Oryza sativa Japonica Group: one gene and its partners. The protein of the gene in region 3 interacts with the protein of the main gene of each other region in a pairwise test. Links are inferred from orthologs where the notes say so. Each region holds a gene or a part of one and is shown on either strand. Other genes may lie near its edges. The genes, in order: CBL-interacting protein kinase 5, cBL-interacting protein kinase 24 and calcineurin B-like protein 1.

Region 1 (3,784 bases), on a different chromosome or scaffold from region 3:
TATTCCATGATGACAGGGCTTGAATTTTCAGGCAACTGGGAGTTCTTGATATGTAAGGGTTCCATAATTTATCTAACTATGCATCAATCACATGATGGAAGAAACTTTCAGATCCTTGCTTTAGTATATTCTTTCAGCAGTTATGGTGAATTTCAGAGGATAATGGAAATAATCTTGTCAGCTTAAGTGGTTTTGTTTATTTTAGGTGAACAACTTGGTAAATTGCACCATTTTATATCCTTTTCTTGTTTAATCTTGGTTCTACTGAATTCTGAAGTAACATGTAATTGTTAAAGCCAGATAATTAGTCCAGCATCCTCGGAATATTCTTTTCTACACATCAATATTTTTTCTTTCTTTCTTTCATATGTCAGTATTCCATTTTGAACATCAAAACGACTAGGAAGTGCTCAACTCACAAGATGACATCCTGGAATGCTTTGGTGGGTCTTACTTATCCTTCATTTTGTCCTCTCTGACAATTTTCCCATGTCAGTTACCATTTCATTCTTGTCATTAACAGATTTCTTTACTGTCATTAATGGATTTCTTTACCCTATTAAGTTTCAATTTCCTAAATGCTGTTTTCTGCAGGTGATGGTATGTTTGTCCCAAAGCAACAAATAAAAACTAAAAGAATGCTGTTGTCAATCTCCCTGTTTCTATTGGTGAAAGAACAGGAGATCCATGTAGACAAACTGCTACTATACAAGGAAAACTGGCAAAAATTATCATCAAAGAGCCCTAAGCCTGATGCTCAAGTGAGAATACTCTCAGGCTCAGCACTTTGATGAAAGGGAAAAGGAGAGAGGAAAATGGATTGTTACTGCATCTCTTATGAGGTTGCACTTAAATGGCATGTCTCGAGATTGACTTAGAGGACTGAGTCAGAGTTGATGACTGTGCCAGTGATGGATGCTCTGACTGACCATCCCAGCAGATGTCCCTGAGAGAAGGTCTTAGGCCCTTGTTGCAGAATTTTTCGTACTCCAACGTGTCCCCTGCAGACTTCTTCACCTCAACAACAAAGAAGGATGGTGTCACTTCAAAGATCTCTGCATCGATCGCGAGCTGCCCTTTCCTCCCTTCTTTGGATCCCTGGAGCTTCACCAGTCCATCCTGCTTCTTCACCTTGAAGCTCTCTGTCTCAGCAATCTGCTCTAGCTTTGACACTATTGCTGATGCTGGTTTTTGTGTCATGAACCGTGAGTCTGCCTTCTGCTCTTTGTCGTTCTCAAACAGGCCTGACAGATCAAATCCTTTGGAGAGGGAGATGATGTCAAATGCATTCAAGCTCACTGGCTTCAAAGAGCTTGCTGGTTCTTTTGCCTTGCCTTCATTGTCCTTGTGATCAGCACTGAAAGCAGTATGGACATCCTTGAGGTTGTTTGATTCATTTGGCTGTGATAGCATCACTGCTGGTTTGTACCCCTTCTTGAACCATGGATGCTCAACTAGCTTCTCAACGGTGATCCTAATGTTTGGATTTGGATCAAGCAGCCTGGACAGAAGCCTTCGGACATCAGTAGTGAACCACTGTGGGAACTTGACATCACCTTTGCTTATCTTCCGGTACATCTCCATTAGATTTGAGTCATGGAATGGGAGGTAGCCAGCAAGCAGAACAAAGAGTATGACACCGCAAGACCATATGTCTGCTTTTGCTCCATCATAGCCCCTCTTATTGATTATCTCTGGTGCAACATATGCAGGTGTGCCACACGTCGTGTGGAGCAGCCCGTCCTGCTTCTGACACTCCTTGAAGGCGCTCAGCCCAAAGTCCGACACTTTGAGGTTGCCATTCTCGTCGACGAGGAGGTTCTCTGGCTTGAGGTCTCGGTGGTAGACACCGCGGCTGTGACAGAAGTCCACAGCCCCTATCAACTGCTGGAAGTACTTCCTCGCAGCATCCTCCTTGAGTCGCCCCCTGGCTACCCTGCTGAAGAGCTCACCACCCCGGACATACTCCATTGCAAAGTATATCTTGCTCTTGCTGGCCATGACCTCGTGCAGCTGGACGATGTTGGGGTGGCGAACGAGGCGCATGATGGAGATCTCTCGCTTGATCTGGTCAATCATGCCGACACGCAATACCTTTTCCTTGTCAATGACCTTGATGGCGACGCTCTGGTTGGATGCAAGGTTCCGTGCATGGTACACCTTGGCGAAGGTGCCTTGCCCGAGCATGCGGCCGAGCTCATACCGGTTCATGAGGATGGACGCCTTCTTCTCCATCCTGCTGGATTCTTCAGGGATTCTTCAGTGCAAAAGAAGCAAATGGGGGGATTTGTTTACAAGCGCCTACTCTGCGCCACTTCAGGCCTCCTTCCTCCCTCCCTGATCCATGTAATGGAAGGGTGAGAGGGAGGAGAGGTGAAGGGCGAGAGTGCGCGCTGTGTTTGGGAAAATCCAAGACACGATTGGTGTATTTGGGATCCTCCTAGGAGGAAGGAGAAAAAGAGAGAGAGTTCTATGGTGGCTAGTGCTTCCCTTGTGACATGAGGCTGGGGCTCACTTCTCTGGAGATGGAAGAGGATGCCTAAAAATAGGCCAGGTGTTTGTGTTGAGCGGCTGTAGTTTTGCATGCTATTTGTAGGATCAGTGGTGCGCTCTAAATTCATCCATGTTACACCTTTACATCCTCTATGTAGTTAATACATGTGTCTTTCATGATGGGGATCTGCAAAATGAATTATGTGAACGGTGATTGAATTGCATCTATCATTGGTTTCTTTCAGATATGAAATGGATGAGGCGTTATCTCTACGATCTACTTGTGGCAATTGATAGCGTGTTCTGGGTGCAGCTGCAGGCACCGTATCATTCAGCTGCATGTGGCAAACCTAATAACATGGCATCACCCTGCATGTTACTTTTAGATTTTCTTTTAAGAGCTGCATGTGTCAAGATATGTTTCTTCATCCTCTTGAAACAAAAAAAAAAGTTCTGCAGAGTTTGGCTGTCATTAAAGACCTTAACCTAACTCTAGTGTTATGTGCACATGACTAATACCAAACCTTGCTCACTCAGTTTTGTCAGTGTATTTGTATTATATTGTGTCTATCAAAGTTACTTTATCTGTTTCATATTATAATATATTTTGGATTTTGAATAGATTTATATTTCATTTGTTTCATATTATAATATGTTTTGGATTTTGAATAGATTTATATATGGATCTACGTATATACTTTACATATGTATCTAAATTCATATAGATGTTAATGAATCTAACACGAAAGATAGAGATGCCAAGACATCTTGTAACGTGGACGGGGGAGTACATATTTGAAACCAATCATGCACTGTGCTGAATTCGAAACTTTTTTTTTCATTTTTTGTGAGAAGAACTCGTCAGGGTGTACGAGCCAAGGCAGGCCTCACGGTTAGGTTGCCAGTTTGCCACAAACGTCAAGGTTCTCGCAGGATACACGCGGTGAGCGAAAATGGGACATTTGGTTGGCTGTAAATTGGCACAGATGAATTCAGAAAATGCAGCTTTCTACTAGTCACCTTCAGATATTTAGCTAGCTTCCAATCCGTCCCATTCTGGCGTTCTCTGAACACGATTATCGTGTACATGAGACCCTTCATTACCTTCAGAAATAGGTAGATGAATTAAGTAAATAATTAACAAGTTTTAGCCATAGAATATGTCACAGCTTGCTGGCTTGCCAAAGGCCACAGTTCAAGCAATGCTAAATCCACTTATATCAAGAGCACAGGCTATTTGCATGACTAATTTACAGGGAGCCAGATACTCATCTGCATGTGACTTTTCGGA
Region 2 (4,101 bases), on a different chromosome or scaffold from region 3:
CCAGCCATCAAAACATAGAGAATAACACCACATGACCAAACATCTGCTGCAGATCCATCATAACCATTGTTGCTAAGCACCTAAAACATTGACACATGGTAAAGCGCATATCATATATGTACTAAAAAAATGCCCCTAATCTTGTCTAAGGAAATGGCTTGAAATGCCCATATCACAATTTTATGAACTAGTTCAGACAATTAAAATCACAATAGCTTGAACATGGTGAAATAAGACAGCTAGAGATATTTATTTAGTGATGATGGCAGAAATATGCATAAAAATGAGGTTTAGAACCCTGAAGAGAACTAACCAACCAAATAACTGCGAGACAGGTAGAGAAACAAAGAAATAGGTAATCTCTTTCTAGTCTAACAGACATTTGTATCATACATACAAATATGATCTATAAAGAAAATCTAGGAAAATTGAATTGCATCCCGAGTAACTCGTCTAATTTTGCAGACATATTTCTTGCATGTAGTGTAGCTAATCAATTAGCTCCTTGCCAAAAAAAAAACATTTCGTACAGTTCAATTTACCATGCATTGAGAGATAGAGAGAGAGAGAGCATCATACCTCAGGAGCAACATAATTTGGTGTTCCACAAGTTGTGTGAAGAAGGCCTACTCCCTGAAATCCCTCAAAAAAGAAATCCCAATCAGAACACTTCTAGGATAGAAATACAGCATCATTAAAAGCAATTACTGAGCTTACTTTCTGGGCCAAAGTGCTAAGTCCAAAATCAGAAACTTTCAAGTTTCCACGTGAGTCAAGAAGCAGGTTTTCAGGCTACATAACATGCCCAAAAAAAGGGTAAGCATGAGATATTGCACCTAGTGAATAGGACAAATGATAGCCAAGTGTCTCTTATCAGTAACGGACCTTCAAATCTCTATGATATACTCCTTTGCTATGGCAATAATTGATGGCATCAATAAGCTGCTGGAAGTACTTCCTTGCTTCATTTTCACGAAGCTTCCCTTGGCGAGCCTACAGATATTTGATCGCATAGGTTCATATTTTAAGAAAATGCACAATAATAAAAAAATGTTCCTTTCTTTATATTGCCTATTGGGATTATATAATGGGCCTATAATTTACTGAACAGAAAGTTTCTGGTATATATGGGTGATAAAAAGAATTTACATATGGAGACACTGCCAGATTGGCACAATTCTTATATTTTTTTAGTTCAAGTAGAACAGCAGCTCATCGTTATTTCGGTAGTGTATATAATAGACTCCTTACTATTTTATCGAACAATTCGCCTCCAGTGATAAGCTCCAAGATTATGTATATCTTCGTCTTTCCAGCTAGAACCTACAAAATCATAGTAATGGTAACAAAGTAGTGACACAGGAAGTTAAGATAGCCAACATAGGAGTTTTGTTAATAATGAAAAGTTATATAGGACAGATGGCAAGTAAATATTTAGCATACCTCGTTTAGTCTAACTATATTGGGGTGTCTTACAATCTTCATTATTGATATCTCCCTTTTGATCTGTCAAGTAACATGAGAAGTGAGTTCGTAATCTAATGCCGAATTAGAATGGTTTAGTCCTTTTTTTTGTTATCATGATTAGCGATATTGCATAAACAACACAAAGAAAGTACATCTCGCATAAACTGGAAATCTGAAATGGGTGCTCACAGCAAAATCAGGTAAAACTGGTGGTCATCATTGATTTGCAGAACAGTTAAACTAAACAAACCAAATTTATACACATGAAATTGCAAACACAATTGGGGAGAAACTAAGCTTCATGGCAAAGCAGTAGGCTTAGGATTGTAGAACAGTTATATTAAACAAACCAAATATATACTTGCAATTGCAAACACAATTGGAGAGAAACCAAGCTTCATGGCATAGCAGTAGGCTTAGGATTATAGAACAGTTATATTAAACAAACCAAATATATACTTGCAATTGCAAACACAATTGGAGAGAAACCAAGTTCCATAGCAACTAGCAAATCAGGAAGCTTAGGAAAAGATTTACACCACTATAATTAGAGAACTTGAGCACTTTGCAACAAGATGCATCCTCAAAAGATGTCGTTGGATAACCATATGAACCAACTATTTGTAGCATTTCTGCAAACACCGCAAATCGAATTAAGCTACAACAGACCAAATTTTGGTAAAATCACTTTCAACACCCAACCATTTCAATTCTGCAACTGAGCTTCTGTCAGCCCAAACGAGATGAAACACCAAACAAACCGCTCGAATTAAGTTTTTCTTTCTTTTCTTTTTTTTTTTTAAAAAAAAGGTATTTTCCCCTTTGGGAGAACAAGAAATTTAAGGCTCTCCAGTTAATTCCTTATTCTTAATCATCAAACGGCAAGAGCTGCGCGCAACTCGCACGAATTAACCAGTGGTGCGCATTGCTGTCGAGGTATATTCGGAAATTCTCCATCCGCCCTCGTCGATGCGCGGCTGCTCACCATTTGGCAAACAGCAAAGCAGCAGCGGAGAGCACCCAAATAAAAAAAAGTGTAAAAAGAATCGCCCGGATCAAAGCAAAGGGGGGAGTGCGAGGAGTTTGATTTGGACTCGTGCACTGGCGGGGGCGGATGTGGAGGGTAGCGGGAAAGGAGAAGCGGGGGAATTACCTGGTGGAGCATGCGGTGGTTGAGGATGGTGTCCTTGTCGAGCACCTTCATGGCGACGGCGGCGCCGGTGTCGGCGTCCACGGCGAACTTGACCTTGGCGAACGTCCCCTGCCCGATGGTCCGCCCAACCTCGTACCTCCCCACCCGCTTCTTCCTCCCCGCCGCCATTCCCTCCTCCCCTCCCATCCGCCGCGCGGCCACGAATCCAACTCGGGGGGAAGAGGAGGAAGACGACGACGCCGCCGCGCGCGAGCTCGGCTTTGGGGGGGCTTCGCTGCCTGAATACCGACCATCTGGTTGACTGCTTGCCTATTTATGGGCTTCCACCCCCTCCGTTCTATAATACTCCCTCCGATTTTATTTTAATTAATATTTTGATAATCACACGATCTAAAAAACATATATTTGACCTTATTTTTCTATTATAATATATGTAATAAATAAATGAATGTTTAGTGTTTTGAAAGACAAATCTATATATGTTATTCTTGTTCTTTTAAACTAAATACTTTTATATATGTTGTTCTTGTTTTTTAAACTAAATACTTTTAAAGTTATGGATAGTCAAAGTTATAAAAGTTTGACTTCAATCTTATCTAAAACATCAATTATTATAGAACCAGAGGGAGTAATCGACATTTAACATAATAAATGGTTTCGATATATGGTTTTGATTAGCATATATTAAGATTTGAGATTACGATACCCCTCATTAAATGGTGTATAGGTAAGAATAGAAGGACAATTAAGGGTAAAATAGAAATAAATTTAAATGAGAAGTGATTATGAGACAATTAGTACTCTATTATGATAATTATTTTGTGACACATGTAAATCTTAGAAATACAATTATTATGGGACGGAGATAGTACAGAATAAAACGTCATATCATAAAATTAAGATTATTTTTTTCACAAAACATTTAATGCGGAGTATCATAGAATTATGTGCTATTACAAAACTACAGATTTCAAAGTTGAAACTCTTAGCACTAATTTTATCTCCAAATTATAAAATGTTGTAGTTTTATAATAATTTTGTTACTAAATCTGCAATTTTGTTATAATTTATTTTTTTGAGAAGCGTAGTATAAATCCAGGTGCCCATAACGCACACACACTCACGTCTATAAACACATACACACATACCCTACCTCTATAAGCATCTTCGGAGGACTGGACCAGTATATCTTGAGATTGATGAAGTCCATAGACATCTTGCTGTCGATGAGTACATCACTTACCACTAAAAAAATAATTAGCTGTAAATACGAGCACCCATGTTAAGTCTAAAACTTAAACCCGGATAGACTGGTTTCACCACAAGGGAATTTTGTTATACTTTATTTTAATTCTATTGTTTTGCGAAATTTGTTATTAAATATGTAGGTTTGTAGTTTTATAAAATTTACTCATGGTTTATAATAAATTTTACAGTATACTTTTAAAATTTAAAATCTACAAATTTAAAATTTAAAATAT
Region 3 (4,238 bases):
GGGTGTCTACGTCGACGACTTAGTGATCACCGGCACCAAGGATGCAGAGGTCGCGGCGTTCAAGGAGGAGATGAAGGCCACCTTCCAGATGAGTGATCTGGGGCCTCTCTCCTTCTACCTGGGGATCGAAGTGCACCAGGACAACTCCGGGATCACGCTTCGACAGACCGCCTACGCCAAGCGCGTCGTTGAGCTGGCTGGGCTCACCGATTGCAACCCAGCTCTCACTCCGATGGAGGAGAGACTGAAGCTGAGCCGCGACAGCACAGCGGAGGAGGTGGATGCTACACAGTACCGACGTCTTGTGGGGAGCCTTCGCTACCTCACCCACACACGGCCGGACTTGGCCTTCTCCGTCGGCTACGTCAGTCGGTTCATGCAGCGACCGACGACGGAGCACCAGCAGGCTGTGAAGAGGATCATCCGCTACGTTGCGGGGACTCTCGACCACGGTCTCTACTACCCGAGGTGTCCTGGCAAGGCACACTTCGTCGGGTACAGCGACAGCGACCACGCCGGCGACATCGACACCAGCAAGAGCACGAGCGGGATTCTCTTCTTCCTCGGCGAGTGCCTCGTTAGCTGGCAGTCAATCAAGCAGCAGGTGGTGGCCCTGTCCAGCTGCGAGGCCGAGTACATGGCGGCATCCGCCGCTTCGACCCAGGCGCTCTGGCTTGCTCGACTGCTTAGTGATCTCCTCGGCAGAGATACTGGAGCGGTGGAGCTCAGGGTGGATAGCAAGTCCGCTCTGGCCCTGGCAAAAAACCCCGTTTTTCACGAACGGAGCAAGCACATCCGAGTGAGGTACCATTTCATCCGAAGCTACTTGGAGGAAGGGAGCATCAAGGCGAGCTACATCAACACCAAGGACCAGCTTGCGGATTTGCTCACCAAACCCCTTGGGAGGATCAAGTTCCTTGAGCTTTGCTCCCGGATCGGGATGGCTCAACTCTCCCACAAGACGGCGCACAAGACTTAGGGGGAGAATGTAGGAATAAGTCTTGGCTGGTTGGTCTTGGTCTTGTGGTGCCTTTTTTCCTGTTTTTCAGCTTTCTAGGACAGCATCTCTACTTTCAGTTTGGATGCTCTAGGACAGTTAGGACAGCAGTTTGTTGAGATGCTCTAGGACAGTTTGTTGGGATGCTCTGCTCTAGGACAGTTTGTTGGGATGCTGACAGCACCCTCTTAGACTAGCATGGCTGCATGGCTGCTACAAGCAGCTATAAATATGTATCCAATCCTCTTTGGGAGGATATGGCTTTTGTGTTTAGTGAATGAAGAAAACCAGAAAATTGCCCCATCTCGAGTGCCATCCTCTTCTCAATGAGAGTAACCATTGAAATTCTAACAGCAATTACACTATTATTGTGTTGTAGTTACGGCATATTTTTGGGGGGATTTTATGTCGAACGTTAGATAGGTAGTCCCTAATTTCATACCGTGAATTTAGCTACTGATGACGTCAAGATTATAGTTCATGAGAACTAGCAGATGTGCATGAACCTGTATGGCTTCTCAGATAGCAGTTAATGAACTTCTTCGCCACGCAAGACGCAACAAGAAGATGCAAAAAACAAAAGTGAAGATGCAAGAGAAACGCATTATGTCTAGCTTTATAGCACGGCAAATCAATATTGACAAGGCAGGAAGAAAGTGACTCAAACTTTGAACTATCATTGTGTTGTTATACTGTGATAGTAGCCAGATGGTTTATATCAGGAACAAGTTTTTTCCTATTAAACTTTGAGGAAAAAAATCACATTTTGATACACAGAAAATTCAACAATTTAGAAGGCAAACACATAATACAATGAGCGGTACAAGAGGAATAAAGGATCGGGGTGTGTACAACAAAGATTCATGCTCACTTCAAAGATGAATGAATAGAACTGCCAGCATAGCAAAACGATTCACAGAAAATGGCATCCACCACATAATTTGTGCAGCTGAAACCTGAAAGACGGAACAGTGAGAAAGGCGTGGGGGTCTTCTGGCTAGCACCACAAGTTGTGGGCTAGCCGACCCAGGTTCGAGCCTCACTCCCCTCTTAATAAATTCCGATATGAGAGCACCTCCTCTCATATCCAGCGAAAGACGGAACAGTACATGGAGATATATTCAAATGTGGCAAGGTTTAATTTTGTCATTCCACAACAAGCTACAAAAGCAGATAGTAAATGTATCAGGATGCTCATAATCACACATGACATGATGCCAATATGGTGATGAAAGACGGAACAGTAGATATATTCGAATGCGGCAAGGTCTAATTTTGTAATTCCACAACAAGCTATAAAAGCAGATTAGTAAATGTATCAGGATGCTCATAATCACACATGCCATGATGCCAATATGGTGAGATACCCCCAAGAAACAGTTAGATGTTCACCTTATTGATGAGCCCATCGTCGATCACAGAACCACTAATGCTCTTGAACAGCTCGAACAAAGCCTCCACCTCACTTACGCTAACTACACATCCAAAACAACTAACTCAGAATTTCCAGTACGCCCATCGATTGCATAAATCAGATGAACTACTTGATGAAATGAAATGAAATACAGTACTGTAGAGTACTCCTCAAGTGGCAAGTACAGCAACAACAACTCACAGGCGGTCTCGGAGGCGAGGCCGACGGGGTCCTCGTACCCCGGGCGCGGACGCCTCGCCGTCGACTGGAAGCACCCCATCCCCACGCGCACCCCGCCCAGACCCGACCCACCGGAGTAGCCGAGCACACACACCCCCTCTACCGCCGCCGCGGCCGATCTCGCATCACCCACCCCTCCACCTACCCTTACACACCCACCACCACACGCCGGCGCACTCCCCCGGCGGCGCGCGCGCGGCGGCGGCGGCGGATCGGAGCGCGGAGCACGGGAGGAGGTCGGGGTTGGGGGCGGGGGGGTTTGGTGCGCGACGCGTCGGGGTCGGAGGGGTGTCGAGACGAGACGGGCTATGCCTCCTCCTAGTCCTACTACCTACGCGATAGGTGGGCCCCGAGTCCGTTGCGCCTCGCTTTCCCCCGACTTCTTTTGGGAAAGAAGACCCGCACCGCGCCCACGTGCGCGCGGCCCTTGCGGACTTGCGGCCCATGGATTGGAAGAAGCGAAGAAGGGAGGACCTCGTCGTCGTCGTCCATTCCCATTTTGGTCAGCTGGGAATATTCGCAGATTTTTTTTTCCGAACGCGCAAAACAATTAAGTCAATATATTAAAAAAAAATATTTGTTTACATAACGCAATCAGACAGACTGGCTTATGCCAAGAAAAAGAAGAAAAGACAAAAAAAAACCAAGAAAAAGAAAATGACTATTACGACGGCTAAGCGCAACTCCAATCAGCGAGAAGGGGCAGAGCCACACGGAATATTAGCAGATCATACGATTTCGCAAAGAAATTGCAAGCCAACTTGCGCTAATCTTACCTCTCGGTCACATGCAACAATTCCAGCACTAATGTGTCATGGTTTACCTCAGCCACGCGCAATAATTAGAGTAATCTAATAGTACTACTACCACAGTAGTGAACCACGACCAGGCAGATTGTTTATGTCACATCGAAGAAATTCAACATTGTTCCAAATCTTCGATGGAAGATTCTCGAGCGGATGCTTCGAATTGATAGTAGTCCCATGGTTTGCTTGGCTCATAATCATCTTTTTTTTTTGAACGACTGCTCATAACCATTTGAAATCCCTACGAAACTAGCAAGAAAACCAAGTTAACCAACGTCTTTGCTAACGATTACTAGCTAAAACTGATTAATCAATTAATTTATCGTGCAGCCCATGGTTTGCACTTTAGAAAACCGGCCCAGCATCTTTGGAAAAGAAAAGCCCAGCTCCATGTTTCTGGACACCGCCCTCTTCTGAGCGTGGGCCTCCATATAATACGTACATGGAGCCACGTGGCAACCCGGAGCGACGAAACGGCCACGTCGTATTCACAGGACACGCCACCTAATCCACGGGCCCCACTCCTACCCCGCCCGCCGATTAGCTGAGCTGACGCGTGGGGCCCACGTGACAAGCGACGGCACTCGTGGGGGCCACGTGTCGCGCACCTCGCCGTCGCCGTCGCTGCTTCGCTTCGGCTTCAAGTCCGACCAAGAGACCCTCGTCGCTTTCCGGTGACGGCGACGAAGAGAATTTCATATCCCTCCACCTCGCCGCCTCCCTTCTTCGGATTTGGTCTGGTTTGGTTGGAGGTTAGCTCGCCTCTGATTGGGTTGGTTGG

What was found.
Region 1: the proteins of calcineurin B-like protein 1 (region 3) and CBL-interacting protein kinase 5 interact in binary tests that used the Arabidopsis thaliana proteins (3 or more experiments, as listed by UniProt). The link is inferred for Oryza sativa Japonica Group from reciprocal best matches to the Arabidopsis thaliana genes CBL9 and CIPK20.
Region 2: the proteins of calcineurin B-like protein 1 (region 3) and cBL-interacting protein kinase 24 interact in binary tests that used the Arabidopsis thaliana proteins (3 or more experiments, as listed by UniProt). The link is inferred for Oryza sativa Japonica Group from reciprocal best matches to the Arabidopsis thaliana genes CBL9 and SOS2.

Annotation. Positions count from the first base shown.
Region 1 is NC_089035.1:5,818,523-5,822,306, forward strand, and holds CBL-interacting protein kinase 5, read right to left. Parts: upstream 2,566-3,784; 5' UTR 2,236-2,565; coding exon 850-2,235; 3' UTR 609-849; downstream 1-608. UniProt on the Arabidopsis thaliana protein: CIPK serine-threonine protein kinases interact with CBL proteins. Binding of a CBL protein to the regulatory NAF domain of CIPK protein lead to the activation of the kinase in a calcium-dependent manner.
Region 2 is NC_089040.1:24,903,845-24,907,945, forward strand, and holds the start of cBL-interacting protein kinase 24, read right to left. Parts: upstream 2,908-4,101; 5' UTR 2,807-2,907; coding exon 2,621-2,806; intron 1,507-2,620; coding exon 1,444-1,506; intron 1,324-1,443; coding exon 1,252-1,323; intron 994-1,251; coding exon 886-993; intron 793-885; coding exon 718-792; intron 634-717; coding exon 580-633; intron 81-579; coding exon 1-80. UniProt on the Arabidopsis thaliana protein: Involved in the regulatory pathway for the control of intracellular Na(+) and K(+) homeostasis and salt tolerance.
Region 3 is NC_089044.1:22,989,720-22,993,957, reverse strand, and holds the start of calcineurin B-like protein 1, read right to left. Parts: upstream 2,942-4,238; 5' UTR 2,692-2,941; coding exon 2,613-2,691; intron 2,473-2,612; coding exon 2,390-2,472; intron 1-2,389. UniProt on the Arabidopsis thaliana protein: Acts as a calcium sensor involved in abscisic acid (ABA) signaling and stress-induced ABA biosynthesis pathways. Contributes to the regulation of early stress-related CBF/DREB transcription factors.